2 linked regions of the Caenorhabditis elegans genome follow. The protein of the gene in region 1 interacts with the protein of each later gene in a pairwise test. Each region holds a gene or a part of one and is shown on either strand. Other genes may lie near its edges.

Evidence for each region. The genes of interacting proteins can lie anywhere in the genome.
Region 2: the proteins of F16B12.6 (region 1) and gldi-8 interact in a two-hybrid assay, tested with the Caenorhabditis elegans proteins (one large-scale study listed by BioGRID).

The regions. Positions count from the first base shown.
Region 1 is NC_003284.9:14,099,939-14,109,801, forward strand, and holds F16B12.6 (DUF7747 domain-containing protein), read left to right. Parts: upstream 1-2,377; 5' UTR 2,378-2,420; coding exon 2,421-2,486; intron 2,487-2,655; coding exon 2,656-2,985; intron 2,986-3,039; coding exon 3,040-3,242; intron 3,243-3,289; coding exon 3,290-3,580; intron 3,581-3,645; coding exon 3,646-3,970; intron 3,971-4,017; coding exon 4,018-4,182; intron 4,183-4,231; coding exon 4,232-4,508; intron 4,509-4,574; coding exon 4,575-4,747; intron 4,748-5,006; coding exon 5,007-5,506; intron 5,507-5,561; coding exon 5,562-5,790; intron 5,791-5,840; coding exon 5,841-5,930; intron 5,931-5,982; coding exon 5,983-6,123; intron 6,124-6,176; coding exon 6,177-6,358; intron 6,359-6,412; coding exon 6,413-6,573; intron 6,574-6,648; coding exon 6,649-7,328; intron 7,329-7,375; coding exon 7,376-7,741; 3' UTR 7,742-7,975; downstream 7,976-9,863. Other genes in the region: F16B12.7 (Protein kinase domain-containing protein), read left to right, coding at 8,607-8,883, 8,926-9,113, 9,285-9,536, 9,588-9,776.
Region 2 is NC_003281.10:12,594,551-12,602,044, reverse strand, and holds gldi-8 (C2H2-type domain-containing protein), read left to right. Parts: upstream 1-3,360; 5' UTR 3,361-3,516; coding exon 3,517-3,618; exon of another isoform or gene 3,619-3,879; coding exon 3,880-4,110; intron 4,111-4,156; coding exon 4,157-4,879; intron 4,880-5,663; coding exon 5,664-5,900; 3' UTR 5,901-6,051; downstream 6,052-7,494. Other genes in the region: epc-1 (Enhancer of polycomb-like protein), read left to right, coding at 926-1,155, 1,505-1,571.

The DNA of each region.
Region 1 (9,863 bases):
AAAATATGAGAAATATCAGATACTCATTGCAAAAAAAGAGTTTGAAGATATTGTAAATACGTTTTGTTTTGATGAAAACATGTTTTTTAACTCTCAATTTTATATGACTATTATAACAGTTTTTGTCATCATTATCAAAAAGTTTCCAGCAGTTTTTATTTGAAAATATGTATGTGTATCTCTAATTTTTTTTGTACTTTCAGGGAAAATTTGTCAAGCGAGTCGATTTTGTCAATCGAGGGTGATGGTAAGTGTGTTAAAAGGAGTCATTTTAAAACATTAAAAATAAAGGACGATCCGTTCTTCAAGTGATATGCACTGCGGATCTGGGATTCAGGTACACTAGTGATCCCACTGGGCTATAATTTTAGCCACGTCCTAGCCGGGGACTGTGGCCGATAATCCAGTCGTGGATTGCTCCACTTCCAAATAGAGGCTGGGTGAACCTAGGGGGTGAGACCGGATTTGAACTCGTGACCTCCAGATTGCTATCCGCCGGACAGAGCAAAACGCAACTATTTTGCAACTCGACTTATTGGGATTAAACTTACTTGAGTATGCTGAATTGTACGGCGGAAAACTGGAAGTTCCGGAAGCTTTTCACTTGGCAAGACAAATGATCGATTTGCTTCACACAATACATGATAGGGGGATCGTTCACTGTGATATAAAACCAGCAAATTTTGCATTTGGTCTCAATGAAAAAAAGAATCAGCTTAATGTATGTTACTTCTACCTTAAATGTTTTGTGAACTCATGATTATTTGAACAATTTGACACATATAGTCAATATAACTATACCTTTAGCTCATCGACTTTGGATTAGCAGAATCGTTTCTTGATGATAGAGGAAATCACCGAGAGGTACATAATCGCCATTATCGAAAAGGAACTTATGTTTACATGAGTGCCAATCAGCACCATGAACAATGTTTTGGTAAGAGTTTTTTGTTTGCTTTTGTATCAGCACTTCTGATTGAGAATTCAGCTTTTTCAAAAAAAATTCTATTAACAATACCAAGACGAAAGGTTAAACCAAATATTTTTTGTTCGAACTATCTAATTACAGGAAATACCCGAAGAGATGACATGGAGTCCTTGGTTTATTCTTTGAGGAAAATACTTGACCTCACTATGTGCTGGAAAGAAGGACGGAGTGTGAACAATGATGATACTCATAGAAACTATTTCAACTTGAAACAAGGCAATCAAAAAAGTTGTTCACTTTGTGGAATACAGCCGATTAACGATATGCTTCAATCGTGCCGCATGCTCGAATTCAAAGATGAACCCAATTATGAAGCAGTGAAGCAGCTGTTTGTCTTGGATAAAGCTATGTCAAAAGCGTTGAAAAATAAGTTAGTTTAATATGTTTTTAAAGATAAAAAAATCAGATTTCATCAAAAAATTTAAAATTGCATGTAAATAAAATTTTCACTGCCATTTTCAGAAAGCATGTTCCACCAAAAGCTACATTCGACATTTCTTTGGACGAGGATCAACAGGTTTCAATTTGATTTAATTTCGAAAAACAATGATAATTTTATATTTTAGAAGTTGATCGACAAATTCAATATCTACTTCAACGAAGAAGACTATGATGCAATGTGAAACTTCTTTAACCACCTCCTTTGCAGTTTAACAATTGTCAGTTAATCTAGAATAAATTTTTTAAACATGTTTTATAAATGTTACTAATGAAAACAATTATGGGTTTTTAAAGTACATACTTTGTGTAGTCTTGGGTGTCAAAATATTAATCTCCCTACAACTTTCTAAATTTTGCCATAAAAGTTTTTTATGGAGCACATCTGTTGCATTATCTGTTGCTAAATTTACTTATCTTGCACTTTGAGGATTTTTTTAAAATTAATGAGTAATAATGGCAATCACAACTTAAACCAAATGTCAATTGTACTCGAAACGTGTGAACGTGAGTTTTCTTTTTTTGTAGACTTTTCTATTTGTGAAAGGAGGGCGCCCAATTTAATTAGTACCACATTTAGGATGCAAAAATTGTAAATTTAAAGAAGGTTTGTAGAAAAATACGTAAGATTTTTGAATCTTGTCACTCAAATTACACATACAAGTTTATCATCCTCACCACATAGCCCTATTTAAGTTCTGCTAAATTTATTGGGTTGATTCTTCGACAATTGCCCAACATTGTCGATCACCAACAAACAATGCAAATACGCTCCAACTCACACCGATAGGGAGAGGGGTGTGAATGCGCGCGAAACAGCAAGTGAACGGTCTCTCCGTTTACCACACTCTCTTACCTCGTTTTGTCATCTAACGCGCTCTCTCGCCACTCGCCTTGCGCGTCAGCCGGCCAGTTATTCTTTCCTTCTTTTCACATCGTTTTTTTTCATATTTCAAGCTATTTTTTGTCAATTTTCAACTTATTCAGTTTAGAAATGCCTCGCCGAAACTCAACAAAAAGTGCTGCACAACCGTCCGAAGAAACGCCAGCCGGAGAAGAGGTAAAACTGTTTAGGCTTTGAAAATTTCCGCAATTTTTAGTCTGTAGACACCGATAATGACGCCATTGAAAAATTCTCTCTCAATTTAAAGTTGCGAAGCATTATGAGAGAATTGTGAAAACAAAAAAAAACAGATGAAGCTAAAAATGCAACACAAAATAAAATTCAGAAACCTCTGCCGATGTGTCCTGAGGAATCTGCAAAGGACACCACTGTACAATCGTCCAGACCACGGCGAAATATTCGCAAAAACACTCTATACGACAACGAGAACTATGAGCTTGTGAATTCAGCGCCTGCTGCACCTCCCGAACGGACTCCATCAGTTTCAAGAACTCCAAATAGGACCAGTGCTGTTTCAGAGGTATCTACTGGAACCGATAAAAACTCAACTGCTATGATGCCTGATATGCTGAAAGGAGCGAAAAGAAGAAAGATTCCTCCTCATGTTGCTGAAATGATGGAGACACCAGTTGCACATAGGGCGAACTCAAATCAAGTGAGAAACACAGAAAACCTTTGTTCTTAAATAATCCTTTTTTCTTAATTACAGACTCCAAAATTCGATGATCAGTTGATGACTGATGGAGCCAACCTGGAAGTTGCAATGGAATTTGAGGTTCCTCACAATGACGAAGGACCTCCAGTGCTCGGGCCATCTACTGTTTTTGAAACTGAACCTGAAAGTTACAGGGAAAGCGACGAAGACTATAGTGTTAATGACTTTGCTCACCCTCCAGATCTTGAAAGGCACCCGTACGTAAATCCATTATGTAATGACAAAACTTTAATTTTTTTTACAGATTGAGCAAGCGAAGAGGACGTCCACGTCGACCACAAGAGCAGCTGGAGACCAATGTTAAATTGAAACTGACCCGTCCAGCTTCAAAAGCTCAGCGAGCCCCACCAACTGAGCCAGTTGCTGCTAGAACCGCCACTGCTAATCAAAGGCATATTAAGCTATTTGAGGAAGAGTTGGATACAACCCCCGGCGGAGAGTCCTATGCAACCGTGGTGAATGGGTGCCTGACTGAGCTGCTGAGAAAGGAGCGGATTATTGATCTCCTCACAAACCCGGACGAAATTGAGTTGATGTAAGTGAAAAATGACAACTGTTGCAATGCGATATCAATAATCTAAGCACATTATAAATTTTCAGAAAGCAAGCAGGATGGTTTCTTCCAAGACCACCACGTCTTCCTCCACTTGTCACCGACAAAGTATGCTTCGCATTCTACGTGGATGGTAGTCAGCAGAAAAATGCTAAAGATCTCTCCAACGATGACCTCCGTCCGTGGAGTGTGACAAATGATCATCAGAACACGACTGGCGGCCCAAACACAATCAAGCCAAATGTTCGAAGACACCCGGTGGCTCGACTCAATGGCGAGCTGAAGACAGTCAAGCATGAGACACGTCTCGCTGAGTATCACTTAACGGAGTACAGCGCTAGATTACCTCGGGAGCAGAGACTGAGAAAAAAGGTAGCTAAACTGAAGATATTTGAACACAACATTGATTTTCTTTCCAGATTTTCTACCTGACCCGTGACAATCAAATCTTTGGAAATGTGCTTATTCTGTATGATTATGTGAATCCAGGAAATGCCCCAATCCCAGTATGCCTTCCTCATGGCAATGATCATCTGCGAAGAGCAGTCACAGATGATCAAGATGGATTTGACAATGATTTGCCGGTTTGTAATTATATAATTGGTTACCTCATTTATAATTTTATGCTTTCAGTTTGAGCCGCAACGCATAGAAGGAACCCGTGGAGCTGGAGTCTACCTCAGGTTGCGTCCGAACAAATTGGGATGGGCTCAGAACAAGAAAAACTTGCTGGATTATTTATTCAATAAAGTTGACATTCTGGATGAACTTGGCGCTCTAAACAATCGCCTCCCAGATCTTCCGCCACTGATTGAGACGGTCGGAGTCTTTGCATATTTTGTTCCGGCCTGTCATGTTGTCAACCAAATTCACCACGCTGCTGATGGCTTATCTCCATGGACCACTAATCGTGAGTTGCTGTTTGCGAAGCACCAATATGCGGTCGTTTAACCGTTTTAATTTTGATAAATTTCAGCAGGCGCTGGCGAAGGAACACCGACAGTGCGTGTGCGGTCAACAAAGAAGAACTTGATATTGGACGAAGCTCACAATCACTTTATGGTATCAAGAGACCAGAAAACTCCATCCGACTATATTCTCGTAGAGACAATGTCGACACTTGCCAGATGCAAAAGAGTGAGAAAGAGGGTAAGTTAACCAACAGTCCGCAAGTACCACGACGCACATTTGCGTACTTAAGTTTGCGTACTTAAATTTGCGTACTTAAATTTTGCGTCGTAAATCTACACCACACGCTGTGCAATATTTAACAAAATGAAAGGGCATACACCACCTGGGGTTGTTGCTGCTAAATTATCAGACCGTTGACGGAACTGAAATTATAGTGCAGTAGTCATAAATAATGTCATAAAAAATATTGTACATTGCAATTCTTCAATCATTTCAGGTTTTCTATATCCAACAAGCCGGCGCTGTTATTCATGGAAATGTCTGCTACACGTATGAGTTTGTTTACGACGGTCCGTTGCCAACCTTCTACCCACCATTGGACGCGAAGAGTTACAGTAGATGGTCAGGAGGATCACCACTGAAAAAGCCGGTCAATTCAATGGACATGCACTCTCACATGATGGTAGAGCAGGATTCATATGATATGATTCCTGTTGACGATGACGGAATCGTTGATGTCGTTGACGTTCACAAGGAAATGCTCGTTCAGCAGGAGGATGATCAGATGGAGAACCTTCTAACGTATCCCGATACGCTGAACAACGGATTTGATCCAGAATTCAATGATGATCCGATTGATAAAGCCGAGAATCCGAATGCATACTATGATGAGCCCCGTGTTTTGTCAACGGGTCACGTATACTTGACTGTTCGTCATAAAAAGTTGGTTACCGTCATGGATCATGTTCTCGAATGGATTGCAAATTCGAACATTGTGTAAGTTCTTGAAAATGTAATCAGTTTGATTTTCAACTATTTTCAAATATTTCAGTGAGGAGCGTGGTGTCCTGAACGACACGAAACCGTCTCACCCACCATTGGTCACCAACTCTAGGGCCTACGCCTTTTTTGTAGCCGGTACTGCCATATTCCCCCATGACATTAATCGCGACGACTTCTCACCATGGTCTCGCAACGGAACGCCTGATCAGCCGACCTGCTATCGTACAAAAGTTCGAAAGCTTGGAGTGATTTGCGATCCTCAAAATTCAACGTTTTTGGTATGGAATATTTACTGGCACTATTGTTTTAAACGTAAACTGTTTTTAAGCTGAAAGAAAATACCAACTACAAAACTTGTCCATTCCATCTCGTCTACTTGTATTCGATTAATCCAAAGGAGCCTAGACTGCGAAAAAAGGTGTTTTAAACAATGTTATTTGATTTTTATAAACTAATAATTTGGTTTTCAGATCTACTACCTGATGGAAACCCAATCAAAAATGGTTGTCAGTCATGCATTGATTATGTACGACTACAACCATGAAGGCAACATCCCACGTCTCAACGCTGGCCAATACAAGCCACTCACTAAGAGGAGTTACGCTAGAACCGTATGTTTCTAACATCATAAGATTTTGACTTAATAACAATACAATAATTACAGAATCATATGCAGCATGATTTGATGAATGATGTCTCGGAAGGCGAAGAGAGCAGAGATTGCCCATTCATATTGCCTGCAGAGACTGCTGCTGATGGGACGTTTTACCTACAGCTCGATGACTTGGAATTCTGGAATGACCGGAACCGACAGATTCAGTACTTGGTCAATCAATCTGATTTGGTGTAAGTTGATTGAAAGAAAAATAGAAAAGCTAAGCTTAAAAAAAGTAATTTCAGTGAACAACTCGGATGCCTCAACACAAAAGTTCCCGATCTTCCACCATCGATAACTGGAAAAGGAACATTTGTCTTTTTTGTGAACGGAGAAGAAGTCAACTTTAGATCATTGACCACAGATAAACTGACTCCGTGGTCAGAAAACACTTGCTCTAATCCTCGTAAGTCTTATGAATTTTTTACAAAAATTTTCATAGACGTGTTGAGTAACTTCCCGCAAGCTCCATTAGTTTCAGATGGAATAACCAAAAGGCCGAAATCATCAAAAACTCCGCTCGGATTCAATCGTCACAATCAACTGCGAGTCTGCAAGGGGAATGCTCTGGCCGTGGATCCGATTGAATTCCAGTTGCACATTTACACTGCAACATTGCCCCGCTGCACACGGCTTCGCAAAAAAGTTGTCTATGTGCAACGAGACGGAAACCAGTATGGACACGGTTTGATCATGTACAGCTACACTGAGCCCGGAGCTGTGCCACAGCCAATTCAGAAGACTATTCAACCTTCGACTGATGAATGGTTCAGCAGCCTTCCATCAAACATCAGAGAGGATGTGTTCCATTTGCTGAAAACTGCCCCAGTAAATGAAACAGCGAAGATAATTCATCAGGAACATGGAATTCATATTAGTCCAAATATGTTGTTCAGTCTCAAACGGCGAGAACTTTCTGGTTCTCATGCTGACAACGACACTTTTGTCACTGAATGGACCGGAGCTGATGGTGCAGGACCATCGACATCGGCTAAAACTGAGACTGTGGAAGAGGTGGTGATTGAAGAGCAAATTCCAAAAACAATCATGGGTCACGAAATGATGATTGGAGGAGACATGATTGTCGAGCACATTGAAGAAGTTGGAGACGTCTATGGGCAATCAATGATGAGAAGAAATCCATTTTTGGAGAAAAGCGTGGTTAGTGTTTGTATAATTGATTCGTTTTTTAAATTCTCAATTTTCAGACTACTGCTGGATTTGTTCGTGGATCTCAGCGATATGATGCTCTTTGGCGAATTGCGCAAAAACAGTTTGGTTCGGAGTGCATTGATGACACTTTTGACAGCTTGTTCCGACTATTATACGAAAAGAACGAGCAGCGCTTGCTCCAAATGATCAATGAGACATTCCACGTGGACATTTTCTCTGGCGACCAAGAGATTGTGGAGGAAGGTGTCGAATACATGCAAGAAGAACTTGTTGTGCATCCTGGTAATCATCTTGTCGGACACGAGGAACTGGGAAGACACGAGGAACACATTGAACATCCTGAAGTACAAGGCCATTTGGAACATGAAGTTATTGAAGCCCCAGAAGATCCTATGGTTTAAAATTATGATTAACTGGAACAGACATTGTTCGAAAAATCATATAACTGTAAATTAAATTGATCTTATAATATTGTTTTACCCTTTAAAATCCGTGTTATGTCATATCTATCTATTATTCCGTTTTACACCAAATGTTTTTTGCCACTATAGAATGACAAGGTGATCTTTTTTCTGTTCTCAGCAAATTGAAAATCAAACATAATACACTGACACAGATGAAGTTATAATAATGCATAGTAGTTTAAAAAAAGGTATTCGGCTGAATATCTGAATAACAACATTTTAATGTAAGGTGCAAAGCATGGATGTGCGGCAAATTTGCCAAACACGGTAAATTTCAAAAAAGTAGATTTGCCAAATTTTCCAAGCTCCGTAATTTTTTATGTTTGCCCCAGCTGCAAAGGAGCATACAACCCCCATGAAAACCAGTTATTGGTCTGTATTTTCACCCGAAACAGAAACATCTGAAAGGTAAAATTTGGTTAAGCAAATCCCTAATGTTTCAAGTCCGTTACTACAAACAACTCTGTGACCTAGATTCCAGGTTCTGTAAAAAATTTCAAACACGTCACTTTATGTGCAGGGTACTCACCGGTCTTCAATGATAGCCATTTATTTCAAAGAAATTGAAAAAAAGTCAAAAATTAAATCAAATGTATTTCACGCATTCACGTGAAATGTCAGTTTTGAAATAAATCATTTCTTAATTTTAAACTTACACTTTCCGCGGTTTTCTTCAAACTCTCCCTTTTCGATTTGTTTGAATTTCTCGGTTTTTCTATAGTAAATGTAATTTTTTTGAAATGTTTATTTTAGCTGAAAACCTAAGGGAAATTAGTTTACAATTACTGTATCACGTTTTCAGATGGTTGATTTGGTAGGAAAAGTTGTCAAAGAGTACTATGTAAGTTACTTAATTGGTGAAGGATCGTATGGAAGTATTGTTGCTGTAAACGATATGGAAGAACTGAACAAAGAAAAAGTAATTAAGCTTGTTAAATTTGTTCACGGGAGTCAACGAGAAAAATCATTCAAGACGGAGCTATCAGTTTTTCGCAAACTGGACTCTCTTGGTAATTCAAAAAGAAATGGATTTCCCCAATTTTGTGAGAATTTTCAAGTTGACGGATATTATGCAATTGGTGAGTTTCACCTTGTCCGATAACACTTAATATTTGTTTCAGTCTTAAGCGACGAAGGAGACAATCTTAATGACATTAGAAAAAGAAACAAAAATTTAGTTTTCAATCGTAAAAATGTCGCGACAGTTGGATGTGCAGTCTCCCGTTCCTTGAGTACTCTTCACTCCATTGGCTTTTTCCACGCTGATTTGCACGAACAAAATCTGATGGTTCCGGTTCCAATTGATAAGGTTATAATATAATTTTTTCAAACATTTTTATGTAGTATCCGTGCCGAAAAATCAATATTCCAATCAATTTTTGTTTCAATCAACAGTTTAATCAAAACGTGAGGTTAGAAGGCTTCGAAAATCATTTTTTTTCCATTTTTTTTTCAATTATCAACTTTCTATATTTTTCAGATTAATCCAATAAAGCTTATTGATTTCGGATTGAGCAAAAGATTCAAAACTCGAAAAAGGCGTAACTGCATCGATAAAACGTACAAGGTACTACTTGCTGATGAACGACGTTGTTCATTCAACATCGCTTGTGGCGGTGATTATCGAAAAAGCGACGACTTTGAGAGCTTATTTTATATTTTGCTTATCGATCTAGGATTAAGCTGCTACCGGGAAAACAAAGCACAGAGATTTCTGACTAAGCTTAAATTGGTTAGTTAAATTGCAAAATCTTCTATTGTTTTTTAAAATTACATTTCTCAGCACTTTGCCACTGAAACATTTCTCCAAAACTTGCCATGGATGACTATTGTATTCAAATCGATGCGTGCACAGAATGATGACGACTTTAACGCTGAAATCATGATAAAAGCGTTGAAAGAATCAGTTGAATTGTTAGAGGAGGAAACGTTGGACTACACAATTGATGATGGACTGATTAAGATTAACTGAACGCCGTGTATTGATCTTTTTTGTGTATTGAATAACCTACTTGTGAATAAACAAATGTGCTGAAGTATTCTTGTGTTTCAATTTTAT
Region 2 (7,494 bases), on another chromosome or scaffold:
TTGGATTTTTCATTTTCTCGCGATTTTTTCCGCGTTTCTGTGTCATTCCTGAATTTAACATTTAATAAATTAAAAATGTCTGGAATATTGACAAATTATGCTTCAAATTTTTTGCGCGGGAGTTCAAAAATAATTTGGCCCTTTTTATTTTTTATTTTGCAAAAATATATAAAAAATCATTTTAAAAAATTTAGAAACATTTTTTAATTTTTTTAACAGTTATATTCGCTATATTGGGACGGTATTCTGTCATTAAACTTGGTGTTGTCGAATTTTTTTTATTGCTTTATAAGACTCAAAATTGTCTGAAAACACCGAATTTTATAATGAAACTTCTTGGAAACTTCTCAAAAAAAAGTTATGACGGCTCAAAAAATGACCTAAAATTTGTTAAAATTTGAAATTTGACTTGTCGCAACGGCTGGAAACAATTTTTTTTTTTGAAATCACCGTCAAATTTTGAGTATAAAATTTAATTATTTTGCGTTTTCAACTCGATTTTTGGTATTTTCAAGTCGATGGACGGCAAGATTTGGTTAAAAAATTAAAAGCCGTCCATTTTCTCGCCGTCCATTGACTTTAAACTACCTAAATCGAGTTGAAAACGCAAGATAATTGACATTTATACCCAAAATTTGACTGTGGTTTTAAAAAAGTTAGTTTCCAGCCGCTGCGACAAGTCAAATTTCCAATTTTAACTATTTTAGGCCATTTTTTGAGCCATCATAACTTTTTTTTGAGAAGTTTTTAAGAAGTTTCATCATGAAATTCGGTGTTTTCAGACAATTTTGAGTCTAATAAAGTAATTTTAAAAAATTCGACAGACACCACCTTTATAGCAATTTTGAATTTTTTTTTAAACTTGTCTTGAAAAATCTTGAAAAAAGTCGAATAAATTCCCATTTTCCTATTTTCTTTTTTGCAGATGTGCGGAACGGTGTCGGACTCAGATGATTGGAGAGAGCCGAGTGGATCACCATCAGAATCGAATTCATCAACCGAATGGGGTGGCTATACGCCACAAGAACAGCATGCAGTTGTTGTTGCCAACGCGGTAGCTGTCGCTTTCAAGGAAAAATTGATGAATGGCGTGGATGATGATGATGATCAACAACCATCGCCGGCTAGAGGAGCACGAGATCATTCCATCAAAGAGTTCGTTAGTTTTTCTTTGCTTTTTTTTTTTTTGATTTTTGAGAGCAAATTTGAAAAGTTTTACACGGTTTTTGAAAAACTGTTGAAATTAAAATTTGTTGAGAATTTGATTTCGAGCAAGTTTTATTTTTAAAAAATTGAATTTTTCAGAAAATTCTGAGTTTTCTTTTTAAAAAATTGAAATTTTCAGAAAATTCTGAGTAGCAAGAATCTTTAAGATCCTTAATTTCTATGCAAGAATACGTAGGAGTTTTACTTTGCTCAGGAAATTTTATTTTTTGTCAGAGGAGTATATCCGAAAAAGAACAAAAAAAATGCACATTTCTCAAAACGCGTATTTTTTTTTCAGTTCGATGTCAACGGTAACACTGCTGGAACGGAAAAAGTTCATGATGCCGTCGACAATCGGTCTATAATTTGAACTCTCTGCTGCTGCTTCTGCTACTGCTGCTACTGCTGCTCATCGCCAATTTTCAATCCTCCTGAGATTTTTTGATGGTCATTCATTGTTTTGTGCATATCTCTCTCTCTCTCTCTCTCTCCCATGATTCTCAAATATTTCAATGTATTTACACCCCCACTCTGTCCGCTGCCTAATCCCCGACCGAATAATCAGATTCGCTGGAAAAATCTGCGATTCTTTAATATTGCAACCACCCACCCAATAATATGTGTCTCATCATCTCGGTACTCTCACTTGAGCCGTGTTTTCTGTAGTATTTTATTCTCTAAAAAAAAATCATTTTTAATATAATATACGTACACATTTATATCTGTAATATATATTTTTAAAAATGATTCCCCCCTCCCCTCCATTCGTTGTTTTTTTTCTGTGGGTTTCAAGCTTTTGAGCTGTGAAAAATCTCATCCCATCATCATTTTCTATTGTTTTTTTTCACAGTTGAAATATCCTATTTTATCTTTTTCCTTTTTTTTTCATTTTTTTTTTTTCATCGTGCGGGATTCATTTTTCGTCCCGCGAAACGCCCGCCGCCGCCCAATCCCACTCTCTCTCTCAGTCTCTTCTTAATGATCTTCGAAACTATTTTTATTTCCCTCATTAACAATTACGAGGTCGTCTTTTTTTTTCCCCACCCCCCACTGTTTGGTGTAATTTTTGTGTTCGGGGAGGTTTTTTGTGTGTGGATTTTTGGATTTTTTGGATTTTTTCAACAAAAAATTCCCCCGAAATCAAAATTTTTTCCCATTTTCCCCTCAATATTAGTACTGTTGTATAAATAAACTTGCTCTCTCTCTCTCTCTCGAAATCTCCTACTATTATTTTTTTAAAAGATTTTTCCAACAAAAATTCAAAAAACCACACAAACGACCTCTCTGCACGCGGTAATCCTCTCTCTTTTTGTCCCCCATTTTCTCTGTTTCTCTTTTTTTCTATCCCCTATACCTGTGATTGGAATATCCCATTTTTCCAGCAACAAACCAGCAAAAACAAAAAAAAAAAACTTGAAGAATTTCAAAAAAAAAATGACAAAAAAATCATAAAAATCAAAAGAACCTACATTTTTGTTGCATTTTATAGACACACACACGCACACACACAAGCAAACAGACATAAAAATTCAAATTTTTCGAAAAATTAAAAAAAAAAAAAAATTTCCCTCCCAAGGCCACCTGGGCGCCAAAAAGATAGTGGGTGGCCATGAAAAGTGCAATACTTTTTTGAAATAAAAAATAGTGTGAATATCGGAGAGACGCAGAGAAGAAAGGTCGAAAAAGTGAAAAAAGAAGAATTCTTTGTTCCCTTTCGTTTTTCCAATCCAATTGAATAGGACTTTGAGATTACTGTAGTCCAAAACTAAGGTCCCCGGGGGTCTCGACACGAAAATTGTTTTTGTTAAATGCGGAAAAAGGTATGCGCCTTTAAGGAGTACTGTAGTTTCAAAAAATTTGGTTTTTTCTCCAAAAACAGTTTTAAAAAAATCGAATTTTTTTCTTTCTCCAGTCTAAAAATGTGTTTTTAAAGGTGCACAATATTTTTCAGATGGGTATCGGCGCGCAAAAAAAGTTAATGGTAATAGTTTCTTCAAAATTATATGCGGTTTTCAGAGAAATTTTGAGTTTTTCTTTTAATTATATCAAATATTTGGACGAAAATTTAAAGGATTAATGCACAGATCCATTTTTTCTTCCTTTTTTTACTAGAAAAACTATGTAAAATTTTTTTTTTAAATCGCAATTTTCTCCAGGTATACGGTAAGCAAGTCCGCAAACACCGAAGCATTGCTGCACGCGTCGCACGACCGCGACGCGTCTCCCCCCTCTTTCGTCACGCGCTCATCGATTTTCGAAGTGAACACACAACCAGTTTCGTCAATTTTCTGCGCTATTTCTTCATTTTTAATGGAGATTTACGATTATCCAATGTCGTACGCTGATTTAACTCCTGTGACAAGCTGCTCATCATCGTCAAATTCTGAAGCGGACGCTAACAACTTTTCAACGGTTATCCTTTATTAAAAAATGTCAAATTTCTTTAAAAATGGCTTTTTTTTCGATCAAATCTTGTGTTTTTTCGGCAAACACTATTCGAAGCCATTGGGTGTGTCAGTGACAATGTTTATCCTCGAACAAAAATGTAATTAAACCAATTAAACCAACCAAAAAAACTAAACTCAAACTTGGGAAAATTAAACCTACTCAGATGCTTTATGCTGAGGTCTTCTCACTACCGCCGACCAATTTTACTTATTTTTTTATTTTCAGAAGAACAAAAATGTCAATGAATTCCAAAAACTCATTGAAGAATTGGAATTTGAGCCGGAAGACCGAAGAGTTCCCGAGGTAGCTGAAGAAGTTGAATCCGAAGACGAGGAAGAGGAAGATGTCCAAATCAAGTATCCTTACGAACGGAAAGACGCTTATCAAGACCTCCAAGAAAGGATCGAGCGCAGGCTAAACGATTCTGGAGATGAGAAGCTTGAGCAGAAGGCGAAGGTAAGATTATTTTTTTTTAATTTGCAACTGAAACTTTTTATTCCAGGAACTTCAATCGCTTATCCGAATGAGCCAATCACAATGGAAAGTCGAGCAAAAGCAACAGCTGGAAGATTCTCTGTTGAAGCCACACACTGCTGGATCGATTTTCACTTGCGTTATGTGCTCGAAAGCATTCCCGAACGCTGAAGCTCTCCAGATTCACACTGATCAAGTGCATGATTTGTCTAGATTAAAGCATCGTTGTAAGCTGTGCGGAAAAGCTTATAAGCGCAAGAAGAACCTTGATGCTCATATGGCCCTCCATCTCAAGGAAATCCAATGCGACAACTGCTCACTGGTCTTTCAATCTGAAAAATCGTTGCAAAGTCACATAATCCGGCATCATCAAGAGGATGCGGATGAACTTGAAGTATGGAAGGCGCCGTGCTCGATTTGCAAGGAGCTATTCCCATCAACATCTGTCAAAACTCACGAATGGTACTGCAAGAATAGGGAGAAAATTATTGAAAAACAGCGAGTATCGAAGATTCTGAAAGTACAAAGTTTGCCGTCAAGCCCAGCTCTTTCCACCGTCAGTTATGCATCATTCTCAAGCTGTCAGCCTGGGCCAATCACAAGCCCAGTCTCCTATAGGGATAAATCGTGTCAAGTGTGTGGAGAGAGCTTCGCGAGCCGACAATCAATGCTCCGGCATGTTGGTAGAAAACATCCAGATGCCAAGAACGATCCAAATGTCACGGCTGTGAGATACATTAGCGCTGAATCGGTAAGGATAAGAATTTAAAGGTGGACTACGCTCAGTGGGGAAATTGCTTTAAAACACGACTATGGTACCACAATGACCGAATATCATGATAAAAAATTCTAGATTTTATATTATTTTTTGAAAATTGAAAAAATCTCGAATTGCATCAAATTCCCATTTAAACCTCCCGCCAAGTGATTTTATCGATGGAGCGCGCTTGCTCGTTTTTATTTTAATTTATTGTTATTTTTTCTTATTTTTCGCCGATTTTTCATGTTTTCAGTGTAATTTTATGAGAAATTTGAAGAAAAAGTCAAAATAATGCAAATTCTCGATTAAAAATCAACTTTGCAAGCGTAAAAACGAAGAAGTACCACTTTTAAACGATTTGGAGCCAGTAGTATTTGATTTCACAGATTTACGCTTGTAAAGTTGATTTTTAATCGAGAATTTGCATTATTTTGGCTTTTTCTTCAAATTTCTCATAAAAATACACTGAAAACATGAAAAATCGGCGAAAAATAAGAAAAAATAACAATAAATTAAAATAAAAACGAGCAAGCGCGCTCCATCGATAAAATCACTTGGCGGGAAGTTTAAATGGGAAATTGATGCAATTCGAGATTTTTTTTCAATTTTCAAAAAATCATATAAAATTTTTAATTTTTTTTTTGAATTTTTTTTATCATGATATTCGGTCATTGTGACCCCATAGGCATGTTTTAAAGCAATTTCCCCACTGTCGCTACTCCACCTTTAATGAATGAAAATTTAAAATTAATGAATTAAAATTTAAAATTTTCAGCCCAAGCATCCATATGCTTGCATTGAATGCGGAAAACGATTCACAACGGTCACCGCTTTGTCAACACACAAGGCTCGTGTTCATTCACAATCCAATCGCTTTGAATGCACAATTTGCCACAAATCCTATCCGGTTCCATCAGAATTGAGGAAGCACATCAAAAGAGTTCATGAGAAGGATGCGCCCAAATCTCGATCAGCATTGGAAGAATTACCGGAAATGGACGATATTTTCTAAATTTCTCTAGATTCAAATGTTCAAGATTTTGCTGTAATTTTCCCACCTCCCCCCCCCCCTTTATTTTCAAAATACCGGTCCGAACGGGTTCCAACCGAGTTTACTAGATATTCATGTAGAGATTTCAACACAATAAATGAATTAAAATGCGTGAAGCCTATTCCTCTGCAAATTAATTCCAGCCAGCGGATTTCAAGCTTGATGACATTGAAAAATATTGGGTAGTTGTCTCACCGAGAACAGGCCTAGTTTTACGAACAGGCTTAATATTAGGATTAGGCTTTGGCTTAGAATTAGGCTTAGGCTTGATTTCAGGCTTTGACTAAAGCTTAGGTTTGGGCTTAGGCTTGTGCTTTGGCTTAGGCTTTGGTTTTGGCTTTTTTTTTTTTTTGGCTTAGCTAACGCTCCCCCACTGACGCTATGTAGAGATTTTTCATATATTTTATTAAAATCAGGGCTTCGCCCCGATTTTAATAAAATATATGAAACCCTCTTAAAAAGTTACAAGAAGGTTTTTCCTTGCGCTTGGAGCGCAAAAGAAAAGAAAAAGAGCTATTTAGACTTAGGGTGCCCAACTGGAATAAAATATAGGAAATCCTTATGACACACCGGCGGTATGGCGCGGCTTAAGCCTAAATAGCCACTTTTATCAAAATACATTTGAGCGAGGCGGCTGTAAACTATTCGTTCTTTAGCAAAAATTAAAAAAAAAACTTTATTTAAATTTAAAAATAAATATCATATGTTATCACACCTTAGAATATCACGCCTTAATTTAGTAATCATTTTTACTTCATAAATGTGAGAGAAAGAAAAATGGATTAATCATCGGAATTAAATATCATCAGAGTGATTATATTCATCAAAGGTCCCACTCTACTGGAGGGTTAATTTGGTTGATATAAAATTCCTATCTCATGTAAAGAAAGGTTCGAATTCTGTACCTATGACACACTTAAGCCTAAAGGCCCGAAAAACATACTAGGATGCCCAACTGGAATAAAATATTGGAAATCCTTATGACACACCGGCGGTATGGCGCGGCTTAAGCCTAAATAGCCACTTTTATCAAAATACATTTGAGCTCGTCTTGCGTTTTACTTTGACTTCTCAGGCAACTCAAAAGTAATCTGTGGATATTTTTCAGTAATCTAAATGAAGATTATTTCTAAGAAACTTGAAAATTTTGTAATATTTGAAGGGATGCGAGCAATCTCTACATATTTGCGATCAACCTTTGGAGATTTTTTTTCTTAGTGAAGTTATTGAATGCCAATATTCAAATTCCCATCTCATGGGAAGAAAAGTTCAAATTCTGTACCTGCGTATATTTTTTTATAACTCCGTTTTTCCCACAAGAAAGGCCTTCTTCCCATAAGATAGGAATTCAAATATCGACAGCATTCATAGGTACAGAATTCGAACCTTTCTTTACATGAAATAGGAATTTTATATCAACCAAATTAATCCTCCAATAAAGTGAGACATTTGATGAATATAATCACTCTGATGATATTTAATTCCGATGATTAATCCATTTTTCTTTCTCTCACATTTATGAAGTAAAAATGATTACTAAATTAAGGCGTGATAT